7 linked regions of the Xenopus tropicalis genome follow. The main gene of each other region encodes a partner of the protein of the gene in region 7 in a complex. Links are inferred from orthologs where the notes say so. Each region holds a gene or a part of one and is shown on either strand. Other genes may lie near its edges. The genes, in order: thoc6, thoc3, thoc7, ddx39b, thoc1, chtop and alyref.

Region 1 (3,500 bases), on a different chromosome or scaffold from region 7:
TAACACCCAGGAGTTCAGCAAATGCTGCTTTAAGTAGCAATTACATTTACACATAACTTTTAAAGTTGGAATTTAATTGAAAAGTTGCTTAGAATCATGTTTTCTTTTATTAGGCACACAATTATTTTTGGGGTTGACATGATATGTAATGTCCCAGCATGCAATAGATTTAGGTGCATTATTTACACAGCGACAGGCAGGCTGCCATTTTGTTTGCTGCTTAGCCAGCAGAGGGCGCTCCTCCCCTCCTCCTTCATAGCACAGAATTAGAAAATCCTCTTTCGTTAACCAAAACAGCCCTTGAGGCCCTGCCCACAGCCTAGAAAAGGGAACGAGGGAGCCCAACTGTGGTTACTCTGGCAGGTACCTGCTAACCATCTGTCTGTGCCTAGGAATGCGCTCGGCCACAGTACGGGAAATGGATCAGCTGCTTAACCACCGACTCGGATTGGATGGTAAGAACCGGCTGGGGGGGGTGGGATATGGTTTAACCACCGACTCTGATTGGATGGTAAGAACCTGCTGGGGGGGGGGGGGGATATGGTTGGTGCACCTTTGGGGTACAATCAGGGCCACCATTGGGGGGGAGAGGGGGTACAGTTGTGCCAGGCCCCGTGAAATCTTTCTTAAGGGGGCCCGGTGACATTGTGAAAGTTACGCAAATCGTGTAAGTTACACATAAAGTTATGCATACAAAGAAAGTTACATGACTTATGTATAAACTCCACTGACCAATTAAAATACTGACTTAGCACAATCATTATTTTGGCTATTTTTATGAACTACTACTGACTAGTTATTGGGCCCCTTAACTAAAGGTGGCCATACAAGGGGCGATTGTAGCTGCCGATATCAGTCCCTTAGACCAATTCGGCAGCTTATTGGCCCAAATGACGGGCCTGTCCGACCGATATCTGGCCTGAAATCGGGCAGATATCGATCGGGCAGGTTTAAAAAATTTAGTCGGATCGGGGACTCATTGATGTGGTCCCCGAACCAACTGCACCTTCACCCGTCGTTCTAATTAGCCTGAATCAGCCCGATATTGCCCACCCCTAGCGTGTATGGCCACCTCAACGCCGTTTACGTAACTTATGCAAAAACGTACGTAACTTCCATATCAAGCAATGACAGCACAGAGCCAGGAGCAGGTAGGTGGGAAGGGGTTAAACTTAGGGCAAACCCCACTGACCCCCAATAAACTGAATGACTTATTAGCACATTAATCAGTGGAACTCTTTATATGATCTGGGCCCCATATAAATAACTCCCATAAGTTCCTGATGGCGGCCTTGGGTACAATCAGTGTCTGTAAAGGTGCAGGGTTTCTAGCCTTGGAACAGTAATATCCAATGAGGTCCAGCCTTGTGTGATTGTGATACCCATGGATAACCACGGGACCCTGTGTGGCTTTGTCACCGAGACCCCCCAGAGCCACGCTGTGTGTGAGTGACGGTCTGGATGTGTAACAGTTTCTCACCCCTAGGTATGTGGCGGGGGCCCCAAGTTGAGTCTTTGGCACCTTCGCTCCGTGACGCCAACAACCATTTTCCCACTGAATGAGAGTCAGCAGCAGGTCATGTTTTACCAGGACATGGTAAGTGAATTGTTTCCAGCACTTATCCTGCTCTTTCCTGACCCCCTTCTCCCCATTTAACCAATCATAAACCTTTGATAAATGGCACTGTGGCCCCCCCTCCACCTCCCATGGACCTTGCGTCTGCTCCATCTCTTCCTATAGATTCCCATGCACTTATAACTCCTATAATTTCCTATTTCTCTCGCCGCCATTTTCTCTCTCCCCAGATCCTGTGCGCTGGGCAGGGCCCCTATGTTAATCACTGTCAGATAAACGGGGACATCAAAGCGCAGATTCCCAGCACCCCTCGCTGTGTTTACTCTCTGAGCGTCAATGAGGCATCACAGGAAAATAAGGTAGGGATGAAAGGCTTGGAGGCTGGGCTTACTGGGAATGTTGATATTTAGGTGAGGGGCCTGGGAGCTGGGGGCAGGTACAAAGCAAAGTGAGAGGGGACAGTGTAGGGGGATGAGATGCAGCACCTACAGGGGTGAGAGACCCCTTTATTCTTGGTTAATTTGCACTCTTTTTCACTTTCCAGGTCCTCACAGCCGCTGGCAGTGGCCCCAAGATTGATGTATTCACCAACTTCCGATACCGAGCGTTCTCTCTAACTTTCACTTAATTTCTATCTGTTACTGAACACTCTTTTTTTTTTTTTAACTAAACCCAGTCTGTCCTATACTGAGCCTTTTCATTTTATCCTAATCTGTCCCTCTCTGAACATTCTCTTTCATCTAATCTCAGCCTACAGTACATGGAGTATCCCTTGCTGAGGATCCTTGATCAGACTGTCCCCAACTGAACATTCCCTTTCATCTGAGCATTCTCTTCAATCTAGTCAGAGTATCTTCACTTCACTGAACATTGTCTTTTCTTCTAATCTCACTGAACATTCTATTGCATCTTATCCCAGACATTAGTACCCTGAGCATTCTCTTCCATCTAGTCACAGAGTATGTTTCACTGAACATTGTCTTTATTCTAATCTCAGACTGTCCCTCACTGAACATTCTATTTCATCTTATCTCAGCCAGTAGCACCCTGAGCATTTTCTTCAATCTAGACCAGGGGTGGCCAAGACGTCAATCACGGTCCACTAGTCGGTCCCCCGTGGATTCCTAGTGGACCTCAACAAAGCCGGGAGATGCAAAATTGCGGCGTGAACGCGTACGTATGCTGCATCTTGGGGGAGGAGTCACCGGTAGATCGCCGATGGACGAAGTCTGGCCACCCCTAATCTAGACTGTCTCTCACTGAACAGTCACTTTTATCCCATACCAGACATTAGTACTCTGAGCATTTTCTTCCTTCTAGTCACAGAGTATCCTTCACTGAACATTGTCTTTCTTCTAATCTCAGACTGTGGCTCGCTGAACATTCACTTTCACCCAATCACAGACTGTACTAGACTGAACATTGCCTTTGTCTAATTATCTAATCTCAGACTACCCCTCCCTCTAAACATTCCCATTCATTTAATACCCCCTATAGTACAGTGAGCATTCTATTTTATCTATATTCAGACTGTCCCCAACAGAACATTCACTTTGATCCAATCACAGGCTGTAGTAGACTAAGCATTGCCTTTGTAATATTTTATCCCTTTTTGGAACATTCTAGTTCGTATAATCCCAGGCTGTAGTACACTGAGCATTCTCTTCCATCTCTCACTGTACAAGTTGGTGCTGAGTCACATGGTCCTACCCCAGACACCTACAGTTAATTCTGTCCCCAGGTTTAGGGATACAAAAGTTCATTGTATTTCTAGCACAAAACTATCAGTCTCACCTTTCTGCTTAGCCCCATCCCTGCGATACCCAAGCCTCCAACTAATCTGTTCCTTCCTCCGGCCTCTGTAAGGCCCAGCATTGTCTCCCCTCCTACTGGCCTGTCATTCTATCCGTTCCCCCTCAGCACA
Region 2 (4,176 bases), on a different chromosome or scaffold from region 7:
GTGCGTAATGACGTCACATGTACACACGGGGCGCAACCTTATAAAAGGGCCAGGGACCGCCGGCGAAGGAGCCACAGGAGAGAAGCAGCGCAAGGAGTCGGAGCGCGTATGGGGGCTCTGTGTTTGGGGGGCTCTGTGTATGGGGGGGCCTCTGTGTTTGGGGGGGCCTCTGTGTTTGGGGGGCTCTGTGTATGGGGGACTCTGTGTATGGGGGACTCTGTGTATGGGGGACCTCTGTGTATGGGGGGCCTCTGTGTATGGGGGGGCCTCTGTGTTTGGGGGGCTCTGTGTATGGGGGGCTCTGTGTTTGGGGGGCCTCTGTGTATGGGGGCCTCTGTGTATGGAGGGGCACTGTGTATGGGGGGCCTCTGTGTTTGGGGGGCCTCTGTGTATGGGGGGCACTGTGTATGTGGGGGCACTGTGTATGGGGGGCACTGTGTATGGAGGGGCTCTGTGTATAAAGGGTACTGTATATAAAGGGTACTGTGTATGGGGGGTACTGTATATGGGGAGGCTCTGTGTATGAAGGGCACTGTGTATGGGGGGCTCTGTGGGCTTCCTTAGGTAGTACAGTATGAGGGTATAGCACATTTGCATCTGATCCCACCATTTCAACTATATAAAAGGAGTATTTTTAGAAAAAAATGGGGTGTGTTAATTGGGGCGTGGTCACAAAAGTGGGCGTGGTCAAAAATTGCCCCTCTTTTTGTTTTTCAAATGTTGGGAGGTATGCATACATTATCTATGATACTGCCAATACCTGTCATACTTTCCATGTATAACCATACCGTGGGGACCTCACTTTAACCACCTTTTCTTAGACTAAGCACCCATTACTGAAATGGCTAGCTCGAAATAACGAGCTAGTTAAATCAGAATGAGCAGTGTTTGGAGACCTAGTAAATAGCGTGTCTCCAGCCACCTGGATCAATATAAATTCTAAATAGATAAAAAATGTATTGGGAGGAGAGATGTTTTCCCAAACATCTGTGGGGCCCCTTCCCTCCGTCAGCCTCCTGCCACCTATACACTGCCCGCAGCAAACAAAACTACCATGTAGTAGACCCACCGCTCCCGGTCCTCTTGTGCCCTGGGATCCACCGCAGCCGCAGGCGGATATTATACCATTAATAGTTCTGAAACTGCGTTGCTTATAAAATAATAATCTTTTTTTTTATAAAATAATATAATCTTTTGTCAGTGCTTATCGATACCAGAGTTTTTCCACTCTAGTTGAATTAAAACTTGCAAAACAACCAACAAAAGTAGGTTATGTATTTATTTAAATAGAAAGTAATGTTACACGGCACTACTACAGTTTATAAAAACGGGGGCTGCAACTTTTAATAAAACTTCCACATGATAAAAGTATCTTCTAAACCGGTTGTGTAATGACCCGGAAGTCGACTCTGTGTCGCCAAGGTAACGCGGAGCCGGAAGTCTGCTGTGGCCGTTGCTTCCGGTTAAGTACCATGTCTGTGCAGGAGATACAGGAGCATTTCAAAACCAATAATAAGACCCGAGAGTTCTCGGCGCACAGTGCAAAGGTTCATTCGGTGGCTTGGAGCTGTGATGGGAGGCGCCTGGCGTCGGGCTCCTTTGACAAGACTGCGAGCGTGTTTGTGCTGGAAAAGGACCGGCTGGTGAGTAATAGCGCCAGACAGAGACCCAGGCGTGTGTTGGGGTCGCTGTCGCATATATATGTATATATATATATATATATTTTTTTTTTTCTATCATTTCTATCCTATCTGCATACCGTTAAACTGCACTGGCACCCAGGTAGTATCTGAAACACAACCAGCACCAAGGGCCTTGTGGTTCAAACAAATATTGGTGTATTATAATTGCATGTACAACTGACGTTTCGGTCCCTTTTGGGACCTTTTTCAAGGTACCGAAACGTTGGTTGTACATGCAATTATAATACACTAATACTTGTTTGAACCACAAGACCCTTGGTGCTGGTTGTGTTTGATTTGGTGTCTATTTGGTATTCCGTGCCCAGGGGCAGCTACATTGTAGCAACTTTCGGAGTGTGGTGCTGTCGTGTTGACTTGTATGTATGTATGTATATAAAAAAGATGCTAGTAAGCAGCACACCATTAGTTAAAAGTTGATACCTGGGTGCCTGTGCGCAAAAACAATATACAGGCTCGGATGACGGCACACACAGGATTTGCACATAGAAGTCACTGGGTCAAATGAAAATTAATTGCATCAGAGGTTTATTAATTCCAACATTTCAGCTCCCTGACGAAAGCTCCTGTGTGGAGCTGAAACGTTGGAATTAATAAACCTCTGATGCAATTAATTTTCATTTGACCCAGTGACTTCTATGTGCAAATCCTGTGTATGTATGTAATTATATATATATATATATATATATATATATATATATATATATATATACACACACACACACCCCTTTCTGTGGTGCTGCTCAGCATTGAGGTGGGCTGCCAGCCCAGTACATTCCCACGTTCAGCTTCTGGGGTTTCTTTTGCATCATAATCAAAGCTTTAATAACTTCTCAGTCTGCTTTAATCTGAAGTTGAGAGACAGTGAGTAGCATATACCTACATTTACTTTACTCAGTGTCCCCCGCACCCACAGGGAAGTGCTGTCACTGTATGCAAGGGGTGTATATGCTATCTCTGTCCCTTAGTTACTTTTCTCTAGGTACTGAGTTACCTTTCCTCCCCACTACAAACACATACCAGCAGATTAGGAAGGACTGTATTTTTTCCCAGAAAAGGTGGCAGCCCTACAGCAGATTAGACCATAGTGTATGTAAATGTGATAGGGATTTTTAGATTGTTAGCTCCACTGGGGACAGGGACTGACATAAATTTGATTTAATCAAGGGTAATGGAATATGTTGACATTATATAAATAGAAATAAAAAAATCCCAAATTACTAAAAGGTTGCACACTGTCAAATCACTTTTATTAAGGGTGAAGATCCTCTGCCCAAGACGTCTGTGTAGGCCTGCAGAATGAACAGATCGTTGCCCAACCCAAGTCAACATTCTAATCACCCTCATTTGGCCTAGTGTGGGGTCAGGCTATTAGGCTGAGATTTACTCATTTAGCTTTCTGATGAAATGAGCAAATTGTTTAGCCAGCTTTACATGTACTTAGACCCTTATGTCTCTAATAACAGTCACCTGATTACAGAGCAACAAAATCTCAAAATATTTTATCTGTGCCTCTTTTTCAAGTTTTTAGTTCTAAATTCTGTGCATTTCCATGGCATCTGTGGTTGTGTTGCCATTTGTGCATGTTAAAAGCAAGGAAAGTGTTTCTTACCGGCTTATTCCCACTAACAGATTATATTGAGCTGAACCTAATCGCTAAGTTATATTATGTAAAAAGTGCCTCCCTGACTTACATTCACTTCTTTTGTTGCGTGGTCTGTATCGCTAAGCCACGCCGCCATGTTTTTCTGAATTACATGATGGATTATGAGTTCTGCAGTGTCTCTGTGCATGCGCCAACATAATCTGTCCCCTTTACCCTGCATGTTGCTGACTCATTCTTGCTCACGCTGACCAATCCTGCTGCTGACTTGAAAGTGATACTGACACGAAAAAACAACTTTTTCAAATCTAAATCTACATAAAAAGTTGGCTATAGGTTGTGTTGATCATTTTTTGCTGATAGGGCTGCTTTTGTAAGTAATTGTTACTTGAAATCCCAAAACCTGACTGTTTTGCCAGCCTGACTGTCCCTTCTCAGCCTGTCAGTTACAGCTTCTAATGCTAACGGCCTCCTGCTGGACAAATATGGCAGCCCCCTCATAGAGGAACATGGGGGATCAGATAGGGAATGTAAAAGCATTGGGCAAATACTTTTATGGCAAAATTATAAATAGCATGCAAAGACAATGTTATGACAGATGTAAAAATGGTTTCATTTCTGGTGTCAGTATCTCTTTAAGGCGCATGCTCCGGTCTTGGTCTCAGACCCTACAGAATTATGGGTAATTTGAAAGGAGAACTCAGCCTTTTTTTTTTTTCCCCAGTGCACTGCTGCAGGCAAAGGACTCCGCTCAAGGTGACTTTGTCAAATCGCGCCACCGTGTATGCCATCCCACCAGTGGTTTACATTCTAGCTGGTGGAATGGCATTTTGGGGAGATCCTCGTGTGTCACAGCCCTTAGGGCTGAACTGG
Region 3 (3,500 bases), on a different chromosome or scaffold from region 7:
CACCTCCCAGTTAACTAAAATGTAACATTTTTCCCTGGCTGTTGTGCATCTTCTTTTGAAAGTGCACCCAAGGTACTTGACTAGGATCATTGGATAACTAGCCAAAAACTTGACAACTTGCTTTAGTCATCTGTTCAGATGAATGCTATAGCCCTATCTGAACTATGCATTCAGTTCTATACTTCTTATGTTGTGTTGTCTTCTTATGTTGTGATCCATAAATCAGAAAATAGATCCTGACTACTGTAATGTCATCACTAAGCACTGTTAGTCTATTAAGTGACCTACTCTGAATGCTCGCTAAATGCTCAGTGGGTGCACAAGCTGCCTTCTTACCCATCTCTGACAGGTTAACACAGGTCCTGAATTTGAAAAGTAAAGTATATATGTACAGTCTGGACTGCAGAGCTTGTCTGCCACATTACTTCTAATTTTTAGCTCTGATGTTGGCTTAAAGCAATTGGGCTACCATCCATGGGGCAAGTTGAGTACTTTGTCTTAGGCGACAGTGAACTGCAAGTTCCAGGGGCAGCAAAAAGCCACTCTTGGTGTCTTTAAGAGACAGAATTCTGGTTATTAAACTAAATTTTGGCTCTTTTAGTGCAGAGAGCTTGATTATGCCCTTAGTGATGCAGCCCATCTTTCACCCTCTCCAATGCAGAACCGCCCCTGAAAGCAATTAAGTTGCACTTTAACTAAAGTTTGATCTTGACAGATTCTTCAACTTGCATGTAAAATATTGTTGAAAAAAAAATTACCTGTCCTTAATTACCAATCTGAAGTTGGATCAATACATAGTATCTTGAATAGTAATTGTGTTTTTGTTGTGCTTTTATGTACAGCCAGTACCAACGCATGCTGAGCTCCTTGTCTCAATGTGAATTTTCCATGGGAAAAACACTTCTAGTGCATGATATGAATCTGCGGGAAATGGAAAACTATGAAAAAATATATGTTGATATAGGTAAGGCATTTTACCAGTTTAAATAAAATTTAAGTAAAATATGGCAGTTTGTTGTTTTAGCATTTTTTCCTGGTTTGGCTTTTCACGCAAAGTGAAAAATTGCGCCTTGGCTCTGGAAGGTACTCTTGTGTGTTTAATGTCATTAAGCTTTTCTAAATTGCTGTCTTAAAGATGTGATACCTGCTACAGGCCAGCCATTTATTGGCTCAAAATTTAAACAAACCATTCAAAAGCATACTATACCAAACAGTGGAAAGGTACATCCCAGTGCCTCATGGTGCCCACTCCTAACGCATTTCGCACCATTGGGTGCTTCATCAGAGGACAATGACTTGGCTGAGAGCCTCTTTAGCCTAATATGGGATCATAACTATTTTATTTCCCCTCACACTGTATGGAGGTTTGTAAGCACTCCAGGGACCCAGCTTTCCGACCTCCCCACTCCAATACCTCTCCTTCAGCGAGGAAAAAGCGGAGCCTTATTGGTAGGAACTGTCACCAATATATAAACCTGCTAAAAAATGTTTATATATTACGATATGCTGATGCTGTAAGTCTCACAAGTCACACATTTCCTCCTACTGATTGATTCTAGCAGTGCACTACAGACATACAACATGGTTGGGTTGTTTGCAGCAGGAAAGCTTCTTCTTCCGGGTAATAGTTTCCTACCACACTCTAAAATATCCAGACTTCAGTAATCATGTGTTTTTTTAAAAAAAAAATTTCAATTAAAAAACAGTAGGCTGAATATACATTTTAATACATTATTGTTGATATTGCTAAGCTTTGCTGACATCTTTACTAAACTTTCTAAACGCTCAGTTGACATAATTTCACCATTCAAAATATATCTTTTCTTGCATGTTCCAGAGAGTAGTATTGCTGCAGCACATGAGAAAATTGCAGAATGCAAAAAACAGATCTTGCAAGCCAAGCGAATCCGAAAGAATCGCCAAGGTAACATAAATAAATAAAGAACTAAAATTATTTAAATGAGGCTGGCTTATTTTGTTGTAAGTGAAATAAACCCCTACTGTGTCTGTTATGCACAGATTCTGATAGACACTACTGGTACAGGTATGGGACCTGTTATCCAGAATGCTCAGGACCAAGGGTTTTCCGCACAAGGGATCTTTCTGTAATTTGGATCTCCATAACTTAAGTCTGCTAAAAATCAAATAAATATTGAATAAACCCAATAGGATTGTTCTGCCCCCAATAAGGGGTAATTATATCTTAGTTGGGATCAAGTACAGGTACTGTTTTATTATTACAGAGAAAAGGGAATCATTTAACCATTAAATAAACCCAATAGGGCTGTTCTGCCCCAATAAGGGGTAATTATATCTTAGTTGGGATCAAGTACAGATACTGTTTTATTATTACAGAGAAAAGGGAATCATTTAACCATTAAATAAACCCAATAGGGCTGTTCTGCCCCAATAAGGGGTAATTATATCTTAGTTGGGATCAAGTACAGATACTGTTTTATTATTACAGAGAAAAGGGAATCATTTAACCATTAAATAAACCCAATAGGGCTGTTCTGCCCCCAATAAGGGGTAATTATATCTTAGTTGGGATCAAGTACAGGTACTGTTTTATTATTACAGAGAAAAGGGAATCATTTAACCATTAAATAAACCTAATAGGGCTGTTCTGCCCCAATAAGGGGTACACTAACACCAAAAAATGAAAATGTATCAAAGTAATTAGAATACAATGTACTATCGCCCTGCAATGGCAAAAGTTATGTGTTTGCTTCTGAAACACTACTGTAGTTTATACAAATAATGCTACTGTGTAGCAGAGGGGTAGCTATCCATATTGAAATAGGGCTAAATGGCACAAGGTTACACTGCAGATACAGCTCTGTAAAACACTATTGTATTCTACAAAGCTTACAGCATGAAGCAACATTAATAGCCCTGTATAAACACTGCAGGAAATTAGTTGATGTCTAAACATTGTGATGGTCAAGGTATGATAAGTATCTCCAAAAGGGGCATACATAGAAATATGTTAGCTTTAACCTACAGGTTTTCAACAGCAATCTTGCAATTTTTTATCCCCTTTTTAATTGTACTTAATATAAAAAAAAAAGTTTTAAAAAAAAAAAATCATTGTCATTTTGTTTACCAGAATATGATGCATTGGCCAAAGTTATTCAGCAACATCCAGACAGGCACGAAACCCTAAAGTAAGTACTCTACCCGTTGTATTTGCATGCACGCCCCTGAAAAATTAAAGGGAAATAAATATATATATAATTTTTATTTTTCTTCAGTTTTAAAGCAGTTGAATGTGAAGCAACAGCTCCACCTGCTGATCCTTTGGCTGCCAGACACAATTGGCAGAAAATTGAGTTAATGAGAAGGGGAAAGTTTTTTTTGATGTTGCTCTGCTCAGAAAATGAAGTTATCAAGAAGTGCCATCTGACATTTCTATGGCCAGTTCTAAGCAGAACAACATCACAAGACTTTCCTCTTCTCACTAACTTTTGCCAACTGTTCCCTGTTCAGCTAAAGTGACC
Region 4 (4,054 bases), on a different chromosome or scaffold from region 7:
GAAGTGCAAACATATGCCATGTAGTAGACTGATTATTCAATATATATATATATATATATATATATATATATATATATATATATATATATATATATATATAAATAAATAAAAGAAACAAAAGGAGCACTCCCTACAAACAATCAACTGCCCCAGGTGCTGGCCAGGAGTTTATGTAAATGAAGAATAGAGTGCACACACAGGGACTTTAAACAAAGATTAAAAAAAAAAAATTGGGCTTCCATGTAAACCATTTATAGGGCAACACCAGTTGTCAACAATGTTGGCTGCTCAAAGCTCTGGTTTCAACAATTGTGTTATTTTTAATTTTGCTTTTTTAGTGGACGAGATGACTATTTATACAGGAACAGCATTTAGCTGATGTCTAAAACTTTTCTTTAGGAAACAAAATGCATAAAGGCACAGGGTGTGCCTATCATCCTGCCAGGCAGTCTCCTGGAACAAATATTTAACAGGAGTGGCTTCATTAAAAAAAGTATACTACTGGGGAACTCTTAAATACAGTAATTATACATATTTGGTATATTAATTACTTTAGCAGTGGGTTTGACAAGAATTGTTGGAGTAAATAAAATTTTCATATGTAAAATATACAAAAAAAATGACAGTGACAGCATTCTGACATGAATTCTCTGAAGTGGTGTCACATACAGGGACACATTTTAAATAGAAGCACTGAGAGCATGCCTAGTGCTTTGGGAAGGTGGCCTTTGTGTGACTATATGGGGGGGGGGGGGGGGTGGAAGTATGTGCTTAACTTATCCTGCAATAATCACATTACTAAACCTAGAAGATGATATACAAAAATATGAGCTATATGCTCATGCCAAACTTAGCTTCTCATTTTACCAGAATTAACACTCCAACTATCATTTTAACTCAGCGACAACATTACCAGACCTTTGTAGTTTTAACAGATTCCCATTTCCCTTCTCTTACCTTCTGATGGATGTTCAAAGCCACAATCTACAATGGCACGAAGCAGCTCAGGCTTGAGCAAAAAGTCTCTAAAACCAGAGCTATGAATGGATACATATGATCCCTTCATTTCCTTTTTGACAGTTATGTCAGGAGCATCCACTCCAGCCTGGTTGTCCACCTCATCGTCTTCATAGTCCAGTAGTTCATTATCTACATCTGTCTCTGCCATTTTTAGCGAGTAGAAGTGATATCTAGAACACAAAAAAAGTACAGAAGCAACAGATGAAGGATGGTTGGAAGACTAAAGGTCCCCATACACTGGGCGATAGTAGCTGCTGATATTGGTCCCTTAGACCGATTCGGCAGCTAATCGGCCCGTGTATCGGCACTTCCAACGGGCCTGCCTGACCGATATCTGGCCTGAAATCGGCCAGATCTCGGTCGGACAGGTTAGAAAATCTAGTCGGATCGGGGACCGCATCGGCTCGTTGATGTCGTCCCTGGACCGACTTTACCTTTGCCCGTCATTATAATTTGATAGTTTGGCCCCAGGGCCAAACAATCGGATTACCCTGGACTCTCCCAATATCGCCCACCCGTAGGTGGGGGATATTGGGAGAAGATCCGCTCGCTTTGTGACATTGCCAAGCGAGCGGATCTGCCAGTGTATGGGGACCTTTACTTTTTAAATTATCAGTTTGATGAAATTAAAAAAATATAGAGCCAGTACAACCAAAGAGTAAAAATGCTCTCTATGTATGTTATTAAATCTGTCTTGCAGTAGAACCCCATTTTTACGTTTCCCAGGGGGCCATATCAGAACAGCATACATTCCAGGTAAACATTAAATCTGAGAAAGAAAAAAAATGCAGGTGGCCTGAAAGGGACCACATTAAAATTCCGGGAAAATTTGAAATCCTGGGACATAAAATCTTGGTTGTAACAGGCAGTATGGAGAAGTATAGACTGTTTCTCCTGAAATATGCTGCCAGAGAAACATTACCTGTACCAGAGCAGGAAATTAAAGATTAACTTCCCTTTACTCTTTAAAAATCTATAGATATGGAATGCATTGGCTCACTGATGCTGTCCTCCTCCCAACAGCCTTATCTCATTACACTTTTTGTGTTTGGAGTGAAATTTTAGCTTTGTGCAAATGTCACATTTCTGTGGAAGTGCAGTTGGATAAAACTGGATCCAGGAGCTCACAAGGACACCTAGATATCACATGTATTGAGTCTGAATGAGATTCAAGGGGTTTCATTTCATACATTCCCATCTGACCAAAGCTCTGACGTGCTGTACCAAAATGTGGGTTAACATATGTTGCTGCTATCATATGTGGCAATATTAGTTGAGGAAAAAGCAGATATTTCTGAGAAATGTACCCTCTTTAAATAAGATACGCTATGAATACGCGACTATTGTGTTGTGTTCCTGCCACATCACTAGAATAAATACAGCTGTGAGGTGGGATGAAAATGTGTTATTACAGCAATAGCCTCAATGACTCTGCTCCATCCCCAATCCCTCCTGAGCCCAGGCCGAGAAAAATGTAATTTCATGTTTAGAGGGGTTTCCACCCGTATAATTGCTCTATTTATCGATCTCCCAATTTGCTATTATCCTTTGTTTATCCTGTGCAACATTGTGAGCTATTACTGGGACTTATTATGGTGTCACTCGGCATGTTCATACATCTCCGGCCGTTCGTGTCTCCTTTTAACTGATCTCATAGATTGACAATATCGGGTAATGTGTCTGTACCCAGAAACGCTACCTCTTAATTAAGTGTTGATAATAATCTCTTTAAAGGATTCACAACGCCGTTTTGACGTCCAATTCCTCGGTTCCAGAAGGCCCGCTCTCACTAGAGTCACATCACAGTCTCATCTCGCGGGATCGTGACGTCACACTTTAGTTATATAAGCGCGGTGACGCGAAACTCAGCCGGTTGTGGAGTGTGCGGAGGAGGTAGAATCGAGAAAGGTGTTGGGTAGTGAAGGATACGATTGTAGAAATAAGTTCTATTATGTGCAGGTCACAGACAAATCAAAAAATAAATGCGGTTTGCCATGGTGGCTGCTAGCAATAATACAAAAATAATTACAGGGGATCCGAACCTAAACAATTAAGCATTCTTGTAATAAACGTTCTTTCTTTGTTTTAAGTGGCGGCTGAGTTGATTGCATTTTATTTGTGGCTCAAGGGAAAGTCAGCAACTCTAGGGTTAATCGTATAAGGCCAGTGCATAGACATTAGGAGGTGTGCAAAAGTGCAATTTTATTGTTCACTACAACTCAAACATATGCCAGGCAACAAAACAGTTTTTCTGTTAGCAGCTATAGCACCACGACCACTAGAGCCTCCAAGCCCAATATTTAAATAAAAAGTGCAATTATTAGTGATGAGCGAATATGTCCCGTTTTGCTTTGCCGAAAAATTAGCAAAATATCTGCAAAACGTGTTTGATTTTTTTTGTCGCCCTTGCACATTTAGATGCGAGTGTGCCTATTTTGATGCACAACAAATTTTCTTTGAAGTCTCGCAAAACAATTCACCAATGGCGAAATGCAGAAATTTGCCAAGTGTCTATGCCTGGAGAAAAAATTCACTCATCACTAGCTGTCATCTTTTTTCCCAGTGCTGAGAGCTCCCATTTGTGCCAGGTAACAAATAAACCCACATTTTTCATAGTTGCCAACAAGAACAGTTCCCATCTAAGCTTCCCCCTTCCTAGTTTGACCAAAAACAAATATCTTTTTGCTAACTAGATCCATGTGAAATTAAGCATCTCTAAAGGTTTTTCCCTTCCCTTAAGAGGGTGCATGTAGGTTGGATAGGATCAGGTCAGTGCAACACTCTTGTAGGTGAGGGATCTGCCTCTAAAGGAGAACTGCAAACATTCAAGAAGACTGGACCTGTGCTGCTGTACAGTTTTCAGTCCCTGAGTATTTTGTCTGTAGCGTTTAATGCATGATTCTTAAAAAGCATAGTGCTTGAAATAAAACATTTTGACTTTGACCTGCCCATGTAAGCAGTTAGTGGACATTAATAGCATGACATTTTGCTATTAGGTTATTTTTTATACTTATGTACATGGTTCATTTTTTTG
Region 5 (3,500 bases), on a different chromosome or scaffold from region 7:
GCAAGTAACACTTAAGCCTTTCTTACTGATGAGCTAGGATACACCCATGTTGTTAAACCAGTTAATTGTGATTGTCAGCTGCCACACCTATGTAGAAAACAAAAATGTACAGATACTTAAGGTATTATTGTAAATACTACTTATAAATAGGGCATAATTTATCTTAAAGAAGAAATAGTCTAAAATAAATATAGCTACAAATGTAGGCAGGTATACAGCTATCTTATAGACTGAACTTACTGTACCAACTCAGCAGCCTACCTGTGCATTCAGAGTTAACTATAGTTCCCCAAATCTTTAGTCCATCTTTTTAACATCAGTGACAACACACTTGCTTAGTGTTCAATGGGCTGTTGTTAAGCAGATCAAGTTATATTTGCTATAGTAACTAATTCTACAGGGCTTATTATTATTTTACTCGACTTTTACACGACTTTATCATTATTTTCATTATTTAAAGGGAGTGTCACATTTTAGTATGGTAGTTCCCAGACTGTGGCACTATCCTAGGGGTGTCAAGAGAAGGCAATTTAGGGCAAGGTTTGAGGAGAATGCCTTTTACTACATGCCCAAGGAAAACAAGATTTAGGGTCAGTTTGGGTGCATGGATTTGTTGCAATGAACTCCTGGCTTGAGAATTATAATGCACAACCAACGCATTTTCTCTGCACCTGTAGACTGTGAGCTGTGAAAATTCCTGGTGTTTTGTTGCTGTAACTTTATCTATAAAACGATCAGAGACCAGTGTGAGTGAATACACTGTTATAGATCACAACCATAAAGAATATCGGGACAGTAATTGTTAATGGTATTGTATGAGGTTTTGGAAATTATATTTTTTATACATTTAGATCTCTTAAGAAGACTATCAAAATCTCAGAACACAGTTTTCTGTGGAAGGATTCAACTATTTCTTGCACGACTCTTCCCTCTCTCTGAAAAATCTGGTAAGCATAATGTCACTGAAGTGGAATTATTGTTTCTACTGACCAGTTAGCTGTATAGCACTGATTTTCCACTGTGATCTGTTTGTGCTTTATTAAAGGCTTGAACTTGCAGTCACAGTTTAATTTGGAGAATGTCACTGTATTTAATGCCAATGAGCAGGAAAGCACATTGGGACAGAAGGCAAGTGTTTTTTTTGTTTGTTCATTCTCATGTTATCCTAATGCTTGGGATAGCATCCATCCATTGTTCCTAGCACCCGTTGAAAGCCTCTGGCTATTGGCTGGGAGCTTGGCATTATAAATCATGTATATTGGATATTCCTGGAAGTTAAAGTGCTGGCTTTCACACTTGCACGCAACCTTTGCTGCCATGAATTTTGTGTTTATTAGGTGGAAGAAAAAGATGACGGGATGGAGATTGAAGAAGGGGAAATGGGAGATGATGATGCACCTAATAGTTCGTAAGTTTACTTGAAGGAAAACTATACCCCCCATTTTGATGAGCACATTCAGTCTGCACTCTGGCCAAGGGCTAAGCACAGGTGACAAATAGCCAGAGAAGCTTAGTCTGCTTCTAAGAGTATTCACATTAGGATGGGTGACCTCTCTGTGGTCTTTACTTTATGTAAAGAAAGTTAAGAAAAATTGTTTAGGAGCCTGAATAATGGGGCAGCTTTGGGTTGATCAGTCGCTGCATCTGGCAGAATTGGCCAGGTCCCCCCAGCATTGTGGTAGCAAATGCCAGTGTATTGATTCCTTGTGTGTTTGTTACACTTTGTGGACATCATCCTTACAGCACTCAAATGTATTTTACAGATCTATCCCCATAGACTACAACCTGTATAGGAAGTTCTGGACACTTCAAGACTTCTTCAGGAATCCTGTGCAGTGTTACGACAAGAACTCCTGGAAAACCTTTCTCAAAGTACATAAATCTCATCTGCCTATTCTACTGACAATACAACATCTTGCAGAATTTTGGCTTTTCTTCTTTACTTTATTTATTTTCTTTTTCCTTCCTTCCAAGTCTGTGAATATTGTTTCTTGTAGTCCTCCTTTTCCTTCAGCTTTTCCAAACATAATTATCTAAACCATTGTTGCTGACAACTGAACAGTTGGGTACTTTTTAAATCTTAATGTGGTGCGTTTCTGTTGTGTTAGTTTTCAGATGAAGTTCTTACTGTATTTAAAAGTTATAAGCTGGATGATACTCAGGCATCAAGGAAAAAGATCGAAGAGCTAAAATCTGGAGGAGAACATGTGTATTTTGCCAAATTTTTGACCAGTGAAAAGGTAATTTCTTGGTATTCCTTGAAAGAAATGTATGATTCCAGTTAACCTCATTATTATCATTGTATCATTTATACAGCTAAAGGGGTGGATCATGTTCAGGTTAACTTTTAGCCTTTCTCCTCTGCCTCTTCTCTGGCTTTTAAATGGGGGTCACTCACCCCAGCAGCCACAAACTATTGCTTTGTGATAATATTGTTGTTATTTTTTTATTACATATTCTATGTAGGTCCTCTCCTTTTCACATTCCTGTCTCTTTCACACCACTGCCTGGTTACTAGGGTAAATAAGACCCTAACAACAAGCTGCTGAAAAAAAACTAAATAACTAAAAAAAAAAAAAACATTCAAAATAGAAAATGAAGACCAAATGCAAATTCTTAAAATATCAGTGTCCACATCACACTAAAAGTTAATGTAAAGGTGAACTACCTATTTAACCTTTTGCCTACCACTGTCTATGTTTACAAAATATTTTCTACTCAACATTAAAGCTATAAATTCTATTTGCTTATAAACTACACTTTCCAGTGTGGTTTCAGAAGTCATTTATTGCATTTACTGTTCATTTTTTGACTAGAACACGTGTTATGAGTGACAGAGACTGCAAAGAGATTTCTGTGTTTGATGTTTTATAAACTATGCATTTTTTTGGTTTGGCTTTTCTTTACATTCAATTTGTCAGTTACAGATCTTTAGAGGCAGCATATATTATGTTCTCAGACTTTAAGAACCTGTGCTATGCTTTGTTGGTTTCAGTTAATGGATCTGCAGCTGAGTGACAGCAACTTCCGTCGCCATATATTGGTTCAGTACCTTATTCTGTTTCAGTATCTAAAGGGACAAGTCAAATTTAAAAGGTAACTAGTGGAAATGAAATACCTCTTATGAATCTATTGGGCAGATGGCACACACTTGCATTACTTTATAAATGGCATAATCTTGTGACCTGTGCGGACATTTAAACAAAATGAATGCGTTTTGAGAGAGTTATAATTTACGTATGTGTGAAAAGTCCTTTGTAACAAACATTTGGTGTACACTGGTTTCCAGCCGTTTCCAAGAGATTAAAGAATTTGGCCCATTTATAGAACAATGCTTAGAAAATAATTCTATTTTATCTTTTCAGTACATAGTAATGCAAAAGAGCATAATCTTATGCCAAAAAGTGCTGTTCAAGGTCTGTTGCGTTGCACATACTGTACCTCATCTGCCTAAAGACCCTCTTACGTGACATTTTCAGATTGTGTGTTGCGTGGCCATT
Region 6 (3,001 bases), on a different chromosome or scaffold from region 7:
TCTATATATCTGTAACCTTGTTATGGGCTAAGGGGGCCCAGCCTGAAGGCCAGTTAGGGGGGGATTTGGGGTGAGTGGGTATTTGTGCCCTGGGTACCCCTGGAACTATAGCGGGGTGACTGTTACCCCAATGTTTCTATATATCTGTAACCTTGTTATGGGCTAAGGGGGCCCAGCCTGAAGGCCAGTTAGGGGGGGATTTGGGGTGAGTGCTTATTTGTGCCCTGGGTACCCCTGGAACTATAGCGGGGTGACTGTTACCCCAATGTTTCTATATATCTGTAACCTTGTTATGGGCTAAGGGGGCCCAGCCTGAAGGCCAGTTAGGGGGATGTATAACTATGCTGAACACTAGTATCCTGTTGGCATCTGAACCTCACAGACTGAGGGCATGAAGTATATAAACACCAGGTTGGAAGATACAGTTGATTGTAGCTGAGGAGAGGCCCATGGTGAGGCAGGGGTACACCCAGGCATTACTAAGCGCCTGAGTAGCAAGCAGACAGAAGCAGTAGATGAGTGAGGGGAGAGGCAGAACTACATAAGACACCATTATTAATACACAACTTTTTTTGCAGGTACAAGTGTAACGATCCGCCACGGTTCACCCAACCAACCCAGACGGGTTCCGGGCCATTTGGGCTAGTATGCCAGAGTAACTGTAAAGTAATAAATATATTATATGAAGCTTTTGCCTCAGTGAGATACCAGGCTGATACAGTATCTGATGGTATCCCATGGCCTCTGTGTTGGCTGATCCTCTGATTAATACTAAGTGAGGCCTGACCTACATAGGCTCAGCGGAATCGTATAGATGCCTCCTTGTGTCCTGTTACAGTGAGTGGGGTGCCTTACACTGCCCCCCTCTATTGCTTGGCAATAGGGACTCCGGTGCTTGGACTGGAGGCTGTGTAACATTCTAGCACCAAAGCCTCCGTCCCTCGGCCAAACGGCCAGGAACATGACTGTGTAGGGTGGTGCTGTGGTGGCACCGCTATATCTCTGATTGGAAGAAACTGCCTCTATAGAGGCTGCTCATTGGCTCTCGGGCTTCTGTCTATGGATGTAGCTTATGTTACTGAATTTCCCTGCCTAACACTGTCCCTTTCTCTCGCTAGAGCCTAAAGCAGCGTCTCGGTAAGAGCAATATCCAGGCCAGGCTGGGAAGGCCGGTGGGAGGTCTCGTACGCGGAGCCATAGGGATGAGAGGAGCAGGAATGGGACTACGAGGCGCACAGAGAGGGATGATGCGTATTGGCCGCGGGGGGAGAGGAATGGCCAGGGGAGCCATGGCTATGAGGGGTTAGTTCTGGATTCCCTGCACCCTAACACTGCCGGGTTATGGAACGTGTAATCCTAACTTGTATCTTCTCCTTCAGGGCAGAACCTCCGAGGCCGAGGTGGAGTAGCCAGAATGGGTCTGAGGAGAGGGATGCGGGGCCGCGGGGGTCCCGGGAGGGGAATGATGAGAGGGGCTATGGGCCGAGGCGGTATGAGTGCAAGAGGTAAGTGACGTGATCCTGTACCTGTGTAGTACATCAACCTTAGGGCCTGGCGGTACCAGATAGATAATCTCCTTAGTATATAGCCCCTGGGTATCTGTGTGTCCCAGTCATCTGTATTGATAGATGTGTTGGGATACTCTCCTTAGTATATAGCCCCTGGGTATCTGTGTGTCCCAGTCATCTGTATTGATAGATGTGTTGGGATACTCTCCTTAGTATATAGCCCTGGGGGGGTCTGTGTGTCAGTCATTGGTATTGATAGATATTTTGGGATACTCTCCTTAGTATATAGCCCTGGGGTATCTGTGTGTCCCAGTCATATGTGTTGGGATACTCTCCTTAGTATATAACCCTGGGGTGTCTGTGGCCAATGATCAGTAGGCAGGACTGGTTGCACCTGAGATCCTTACTAAACTTTACCCCCACCTCCTGGCTGTGTGCCTTAAGTGGTAGCCCCTTACTGAGCCTCTTTCCCTCTGCGCAGGACGCGGGGGCATGACCAGAGGGAGGGGCTTTGTGCGCGGCAGAGGACGAGGGAGAGGAAGGGGCGTGGCCCGCCCAGCGATAACCAAGGAGCAGCTGGATAACCAATTGGACGCGTACATGTCAAAGACCAAGGGGCACCTGGATGCCGAGCTGGACGCCTACATGGCACAGGCAGACCCCGAGTCCAACGACTGAGCCGCCGAATGTTTTTATATATTTCTAAGGAACAGACTCTTACCAGCACGCGCACGACTGTGCCACGCCTCCTTTTGGTACCGCCCCCTGGTTTTAGCGTTCCTTTTACATTTTTCATACCTATTTGTTCTTTTGACTCTATTTTATTAACCATTGAATGTACGGAGGCGAGCGACAGGTTGGCACACTAAGTTCCCGCGGCCCCGTGCCGCCCCTTGGGTTCGATTGCCGTCAGTTTGTGCAAAGTTTACGTTGCCCCTCGGTATGCTGCTGCACTTGGATACCACTCATAAAGTTTTGTGCGTTTTGTAAAAACTTGTTTTCTGTGGGTTTGTATTGTGTGGTGCTGTTCCGGCCATTGTCGGGGTGCCTTTATTTATAAGGGGGCTGTATTCAGGATCGGACTGGGGGTGCAGGGCTTACAGAGGAGCAACGGGGCTTTATTCAGGGTCGGACTGGGGGTGCAGGGCTTTCAGAGGTGCAACAGGGCTTTATTCATGGTCGGACTGGGGGTGCAGGGCTTACAGAGGTGCAACAGGGCTTTATTCAGGGTCGGACTGGGGGTGCAGGGCTTACAGAGGAACAACGGGGCTTTATTCAGGGTCGGACTGGGGGTGCAGGGCTTTCAGAGGTGCAACAGGGCTTTATTCATGGTCGGACTGGGGGTGCAGGGCTTACAGAGGTGCAACAGGGCTTTATTCAGGGTCGGACTGGGGGTGCAGGGCTTACAGAGGAACAACGGGGCTTTATTCAGGGTCGGACTGGGGGTGCAGGGCTTTCAGAGGTGCAACGGGGCTTTATTCAGGGTCAGACTG
Region 7 (4,231 bases):
ATAACGGCAGCTACAATCAGCCTGTGTATGGCCACCTTTAATCTAGCACAAACGCATGCTGGGAATCTTCCGTGCATCTACAATGACATCAGGGGGGTATGTTACAATATAATGTCAATTGCCAGTCAATACCAGTAATGCTATGCTAATAAGTTGCTAGGAGAAGCTGGAACATGCACAGTAGTGGAATATGGTGCCTGACCTCCTGGAAATTGCAAGTTGCAAAAAGCATGACGCTACCATTGGGTAAGCATTCTTAAACATAAGCTAAAGTAGGGTTTGGTAAATGGTCCTTACTGCAAAAACAGAAATTTGTATGCCAACATTTACCTTATATTTCACTGCCTGAGAAGTGCAGCATTACTTAGTAACTAACCTTTACAAGTACATGAGACCAGTTATCCAGAACGCTTGGGACCTGGGGCTTTCCAGATAAGGGATCTTTCTGGAATTTGGATCTTCATACCTTAAGTCTACTAAATATAATTTAAATATTGTACAAACCCAACAGGCTTATTTTGCCTCTGATAAGGATTAATTATATTTTAGTTAGGATCAAGTACATGGTAAAGTTTAATTACAAAGGAAAATTATTTTTTTATTAGAACTATTTGCTCATAATGCAAGAGATGGACTTTCCGTAATTTGGAACTTTTTGGATAACTGGTTTCTGGATAAGGGATCCCATAACTGCATAGCATATAGTTTAATGGACTGCGCTAACTAGGAATGAATAACAATGCGACATGCTTGCCCAGTGGTTCCCCAGCTGCATTTGGTTCTTGTAAAGTAGGCAGTTGATTACTAGCAATACCCCTCTGCAAAACATATCTACTTATCAATGAATTTGTTATCTACTTCCAAATAAAAACAACAAAGTAGCTTTAATCTACTAGTAAAAGTACTAGTATTTCAGCTTCACTTGTGCTGCGCAATAAAGGGGAATATTTCCCCTTTATCCTTTTTAGTAATATCTAGGGATTAAACATTTGCATTGCTATTACTTGCAGGGTAATATGGTATTACTTGCAGCCATAGTTCAGCAAAGAAATAGTGAAGGCATGACCGTTTAATGGTTAACTGATCTATGCAAGGACTCAAATTTTCTAAGGAAAAAAATAAAATGTATTTGGACATTTGTATAATGTAGCATCATGACATGAAAACACCTCATTGTGTAGCGTGCATCCCTTATATATAAATATATCCTTTTACAACACAACCCCAACAAATGTTACCAGCTTTACGCCTGTACACACCAAAACACTGAACCATGGGCACAATTTCTATAGAGACTACCAAGAGTGGCTGGTAGTCAGCTGAAAGCTCTGGCAGCTTCCATACATAGAGAAGGAAAGTGATTATAACTGCTTACCAGATACCCTGGGCCGGTGCACCTGTTCACTTAAAATGAAAGTTACAAACATTCCAGAATGTTAGCCCCCCTCAGTGAGACTGCACCAGTCGGGTGCAGACAAAGGGGTCCTCCTGTCTGAGCATGCCCAGTGGAGCAAAAAGCCAAAAGTTAAAAAAAAGCTGGTTTTCCACTCACCCATATGCAGTTAACCCCTTGTTGGTGCAGTTTTCTCCTTACAGGAGCACCCCCAGAGGTTTCAGGTAAGCGTTTACAATCACTGCAGGGATGTCCAATATCCCCCCCCCCCAGTGGTTGTACCTTTCCTTCTCTAAGGCTGGTGCAGTGTTTAGGGAACAGGGGTACTGGCCTGGGGTATCGGGTAAGCAATTATAAGCACTAGGGGACTAACATTTAACACCCCCCACCCTAAGCCCGGCTAACACTAACTGTTAGTGCAGTTGCTCAAACACTGTTGCAGCACAGCAATTCCATGAGCTGTAGGACAACTGGGTTTCCCATTTGGAAAAAAACATTTATCAGATATAAAAAATGTCAGGTGGGAAAGATATTCCAAGCTGAGCTGTAACTCCCAGGCCTGGCAATGGCACTAGGATTATCTACACTGTATGATTAGGGCCCACATTTGGCTCAGCCTCAGAACAAAAGTGAAGCTCATATCTCCATGTTTAACAACAAGAAAATCTAAGGAACTAACATTCATTTACAGAAATTCACGGAGAGATTAGCGCTTAGAGCTGTATAAGCCTCGGCCAGGAGCGCTGCCCCCTAACTTATACTCACAACCCCCCGCAGTAGCAGCCATGTTGGAAGTGCGGGAATCTTATGTTATTCTATTACTGTTACCGAGGAACTAGAGAAGCGCGGGCTCCCGGGGCCCAATCCCACCCGCCCAGCCCGGACCAGAAGGCCGACACCCGGGAGAAGCTGCTCCGGGATACGCTATCCCCTCCCCACGGAGCGCCGGACACAGGGGGCGGCCCCAGGCCCATAATCCCCCGTTGCGCAAACCTTCTCAGACCGGGCCCCAGCTCCTCGGTCCGGGCCTCATGGATGTCACCACTCCAGCAGCTGATCGGTCGGGCACACACCGAAACCTCTCCGGGCGGCTGCCTCCTCCGGTCACCGGCGCCTTTGTAAGGCCACAGGCCCTCCCTGCCCCCGCCTCTCCTACCCTGCTGTACGGTGCGGGCCGGTTCCTTCCGCCGCGGGTCAGGACAGGCCTTGACCGCATAGGCCCTCCGCCTCCCGCCGCTCCTCCTCCTCCTCCTCCGCGGCCTCCACCAATTCGGCCTCCGGCTCCTCCGCGGGCCGACCCGCCCCGAGCACCCCGTCCTCCACCCCGGCCCCTTCCGGCCGGTCTTTGGCTCCGATTAAGCTTGATGATATCATCTAGAGACATGTCCATTTTGTCCCCCATCGCGGCGATGTTTCTCAAGTTAACCGTGTAGCGTGCTCGGATGCGGCCTGTCCTGGAACAATACTACTATCCAGCCGGTGTGAGCCGCGCTTAAATAGCCCCGCCCCGCATATCCGGCACTCCCTGCGTCACTTCCGCCGGGTTAGGCTAACATTTAAACTAACAAACAAAAGTAACCTCTCTTTCAGTTCTTGCCACGAGTTGTTTCAAGGTGGGAGACTAAAGCCTAAACTGAAAATAAAGTTTATTTATAATGAGCTGCATCAGTTTCAGATTTTTCCAAGCGCCTCTATACCGATCGCTCCCCTGTATCTTGAAATGGAAGTGTTTAATTACGATACTTCTCACGTTGTTCCACAATTATGTTGGAACGCCAAACACGCTGATTATTTAATGCACATGTATAAAAAATGTAGTCCCTTGTGTGGTTTATAAGTATATTTGAAATCACAGACGTTTGTGTGAAAAATATGTTATATGTATTCTGATCCACCTCCTTGGTTTTTAAAAGGACACAAAAGATCATTTTTGAATGAACAGTGAATCAGAGAGAACATTCTCTCTAAGGAACAAAGCCATTTATAAAGCTTATAGACCTCAGTAGATTCTAAAATACTTTTACATTTTAGTAGGGGGTACATTATTATTTACAATCTACAAGTTTCAGGGGTCCCCGCTCCCCCCCCCCCAGCGCTTTCAGCAGGGGTCCCCAACCTTTCTTACCTGTGGGCCACACTCCTATGTGGACTGGCAGCCTAAATGAGGCTCTGTTTGGATTGCCTCCAATCCAGGAATTCAAAAATAAGCAGCTGCTTTGAGGCCATTGGGAGCAACATCCAAAGGGTTTGGGAAGAAACATGTTGCTCACAAACCACTGGTTGGGTATCACTGGCCCTCATGGGCCCTCACGCATATATCTAGAAAATATGGCCCTTTGCCTCGTGCCCTTCCATGTTTCTGATGTACAGGCAGGGCCGAAACTAGGGGTAGGCAGAAGAGGCAGCTGCCTAGGGTGCAACGATTTGGGGGCGCCAGGCAGGAGCCTCTCCTGCCTACCCCTGGCCTGCGTATGCAGGCCAAAGCACACACGAGGGGGGGTGGGGAAAGGTGCAGGGGCGAGGTGGCTGACCGGGTTGCCTACAGCTTGGCCCGCGCCTGTGTACTGGTGTGGCACTGCTCTATTAAAATGTTGTTTCAGTGTTACTTTAAGTTATAAATAGTGCAGTGTGATTTCAGAATGTGCCGTTTATAAGGATAGAGTTTTCTACACAGAAAAATGTCAGAATACTAATCAAAACAGGATGAAAAGCAGGCCATAGATCTAAAAGGAGAAGGTGGTATGAGGCACAAGGAGTGGGGATGGGTAAGATGCAGGAACCACCAAGGTGAGACGTGGCATTGTATATTGCACTTAAAGGTAATATAAAGTGAATTTT

What was found.
Region 1: alyref (region 7) and thoc6 share a complex: the UniProt entries of both Homo sapiens proteins name them as parts of the transcription/export (TREX) complex. The link is inferred for Xenopus tropicalis from reciprocal best matches to the Homo sapiens genes ALYREF and THOC6.
Region 2: alyref (region 7) and thoc3 share a complex: the UniProt entries of both Homo sapiens proteins name them as parts of the transcription/export (TREX) complex. The link is inferred for Xenopus tropicalis from reciprocal best matches to the Homo sapiens genes ALYREF and THOC3.
Region 3: alyref (region 7) and thoc7 share a complex: the UniProt entries of both Homo sapiens proteins name them as parts of the transcription/export (TREX) complex. The link is inferred for Xenopus tropicalis from reciprocal best matches to the Homo sapiens genes ALYREF and THOC7.
Region 4: alyref (region 7) and ddx39b share a complex: the UniProt entries of both Homo sapiens proteins name them as parts of the transcription/export (TREX) complex. The link is inferred for Xenopus tropicalis from reciprocal best matches to the Homo sapiens genes ALYREF and DDX39B.
Region 5: alyref (region 7) and thoc1 share a complex: the UniProt entries of both Homo sapiens proteins name them as parts of the transcription/export (TREX) complex. The link is inferred for Xenopus tropicalis from reciprocal best matches to the Homo sapiens genes ALYREF and THOC1.
Region 6: alyref (region 7) and chtop share a complex: the UniProt entries of both Homo sapiens proteins name them as parts of the transcription/export (TREX) complex. The link is inferred for Xenopus tropicalis from reciprocal best matches to the Homo sapiens genes ALYREF and CHTOP.

Annotation. Positions count from the first base shown.
Region 1 is NC_030685.2:12,479,742-12,483,241, reverse strand, and holds part of thoc6 (THO complex subunit 6 homolog), read left to right. Parts: intron 1-392; coding exon 393-455; intron 456-1,486; coding exon 1,487-1,597; intron 1,598-1,806; coding exon 1,807-1,935; intron 1,936-2,120; coding exon 2,121-2,204; 3' UTR 2,205-3,500. UniProt on the Homo sapiens protein: Component of the THO subcomplex of the TREX complex which is thought to couple mRNA transcription, processing and nuclear export, and which specifically associates with spliced mRNA and not with unspliced pre-mRNA.
Region 2 is NC_030679.2:45,416,968-45,421,143, reverse strand, and holds the start of thoc3 (THO complex subunit 3), read left to right. Parts: upstream 1-1,376; 5' UTR 1,377-1,391; coding exon 1,392-1,643; intron 1,644-4,176. UniProt on the Homo sapiens protein: Component of the THO subcomplex of the TREX complex which is thought to couple mRNA transcription, processing and nuclear export, and which specifically associates with spliced mRNA and not with unspliced pre-mRNA.
Region 3 is NC_030680.2:145,037,704-145,041,203, forward strand, and holds part of thoc7 (THO complex subunit 7 homolog), read left to right. Parts: intron 1-842; coding exon 843-964; intron 965-1,837; coding exon 1,838-1,924; intron 1,925-3,109; coding exon 3,110-3,167; intron 3,168-3,500. UniProt on the Homo sapiens protein: Component of the THO subcomplex of the TREX complex which is thought to couple mRNA transcription, processing and nuclear export, and which specifically associates with spliced mRNA and not with unspliced pre-mRNA.
Region 4 is NC_030684.2:74,210,165-74,214,218, forward strand, and holds the start of ddx39b (spliceosome RNA helicase DDX39B), read right to left. Parts: upstream 2,801-4,054; 5' UTR 2,720-2,800; intron 1,191-2,719; 5' UTR 1,169-1,190; coding exon 958-1,168; intron 1-957. UniProt on the Homo sapiens protein: Involved in nuclear export of spliced and unspliced mRNA. Component of the TREX complex which is thought to couple mRNA transcription, processing and nuclear export, and specifically associates with spliced mRNA and not with unspliced pre-mRNA.
Region 5 is NC_030682.2:108,269,980-108,273,479, forward strand, and holds part of thoc1 (THO complex subunit 1), read left to right. Parts: intron 1-851; coding exon 852-947; intron 948-1,045; coding exon 1,046-1,128; intron 1,129-1,337; coding exon 1,338-1,408; intron 1,409-1,763; coding exon 1,764-1,872; intron 1,873-2,108; coding exon 2,109-2,240; intron 2,241-2,995; coding exon 2,996-3,096; intron 3,097-3,500. UniProt on the Homo sapiens protein: Component of the THO subcomplex of the TREX complex which is thought to couple mRNA transcription, processing and nuclear export, and which specifically associates with spliced mRNA and not with unspliced pre-mRNA.
Region 6 is NC_030684.2:144,115,430-144,118,430, forward strand, and holds the end of chtop (chromatin target of PRMT1 protein), read left to right. Parts: intron 1-1,118; coding exon 1,119-1,302; intron 1,303-1,379; coding exon 1,380-1,505; intron 1,506-1,989; coding exon 1,990-2,186; 3' UTR 2,187-2,501; downstream 2,502-3,001. UniProt on the Homo sapiens protein: Plays an important role in the ligand-dependent activation of estrogen receptor target genes. May play a role in the silencing of fetal globin genes.
Region 7 is NC_030686.2:27,893,665-27,897,895, forward strand, and holds the start of alyref (THO complex subunit 4), read right to left. Parts: upstream 2,801-4,231; 5' UTR 2,796-2,800; coding exon 2,550-2,795; intron 1-2,549. UniProt on the Homo sapiens protein: Functions as an mRNA export adapter; component of the transcription/export (TREX) complex which is thought to couple mRNA transcription, processing and nuclear export, and specifically associates with spliced mRNA and not with unspliced pre-mRNA.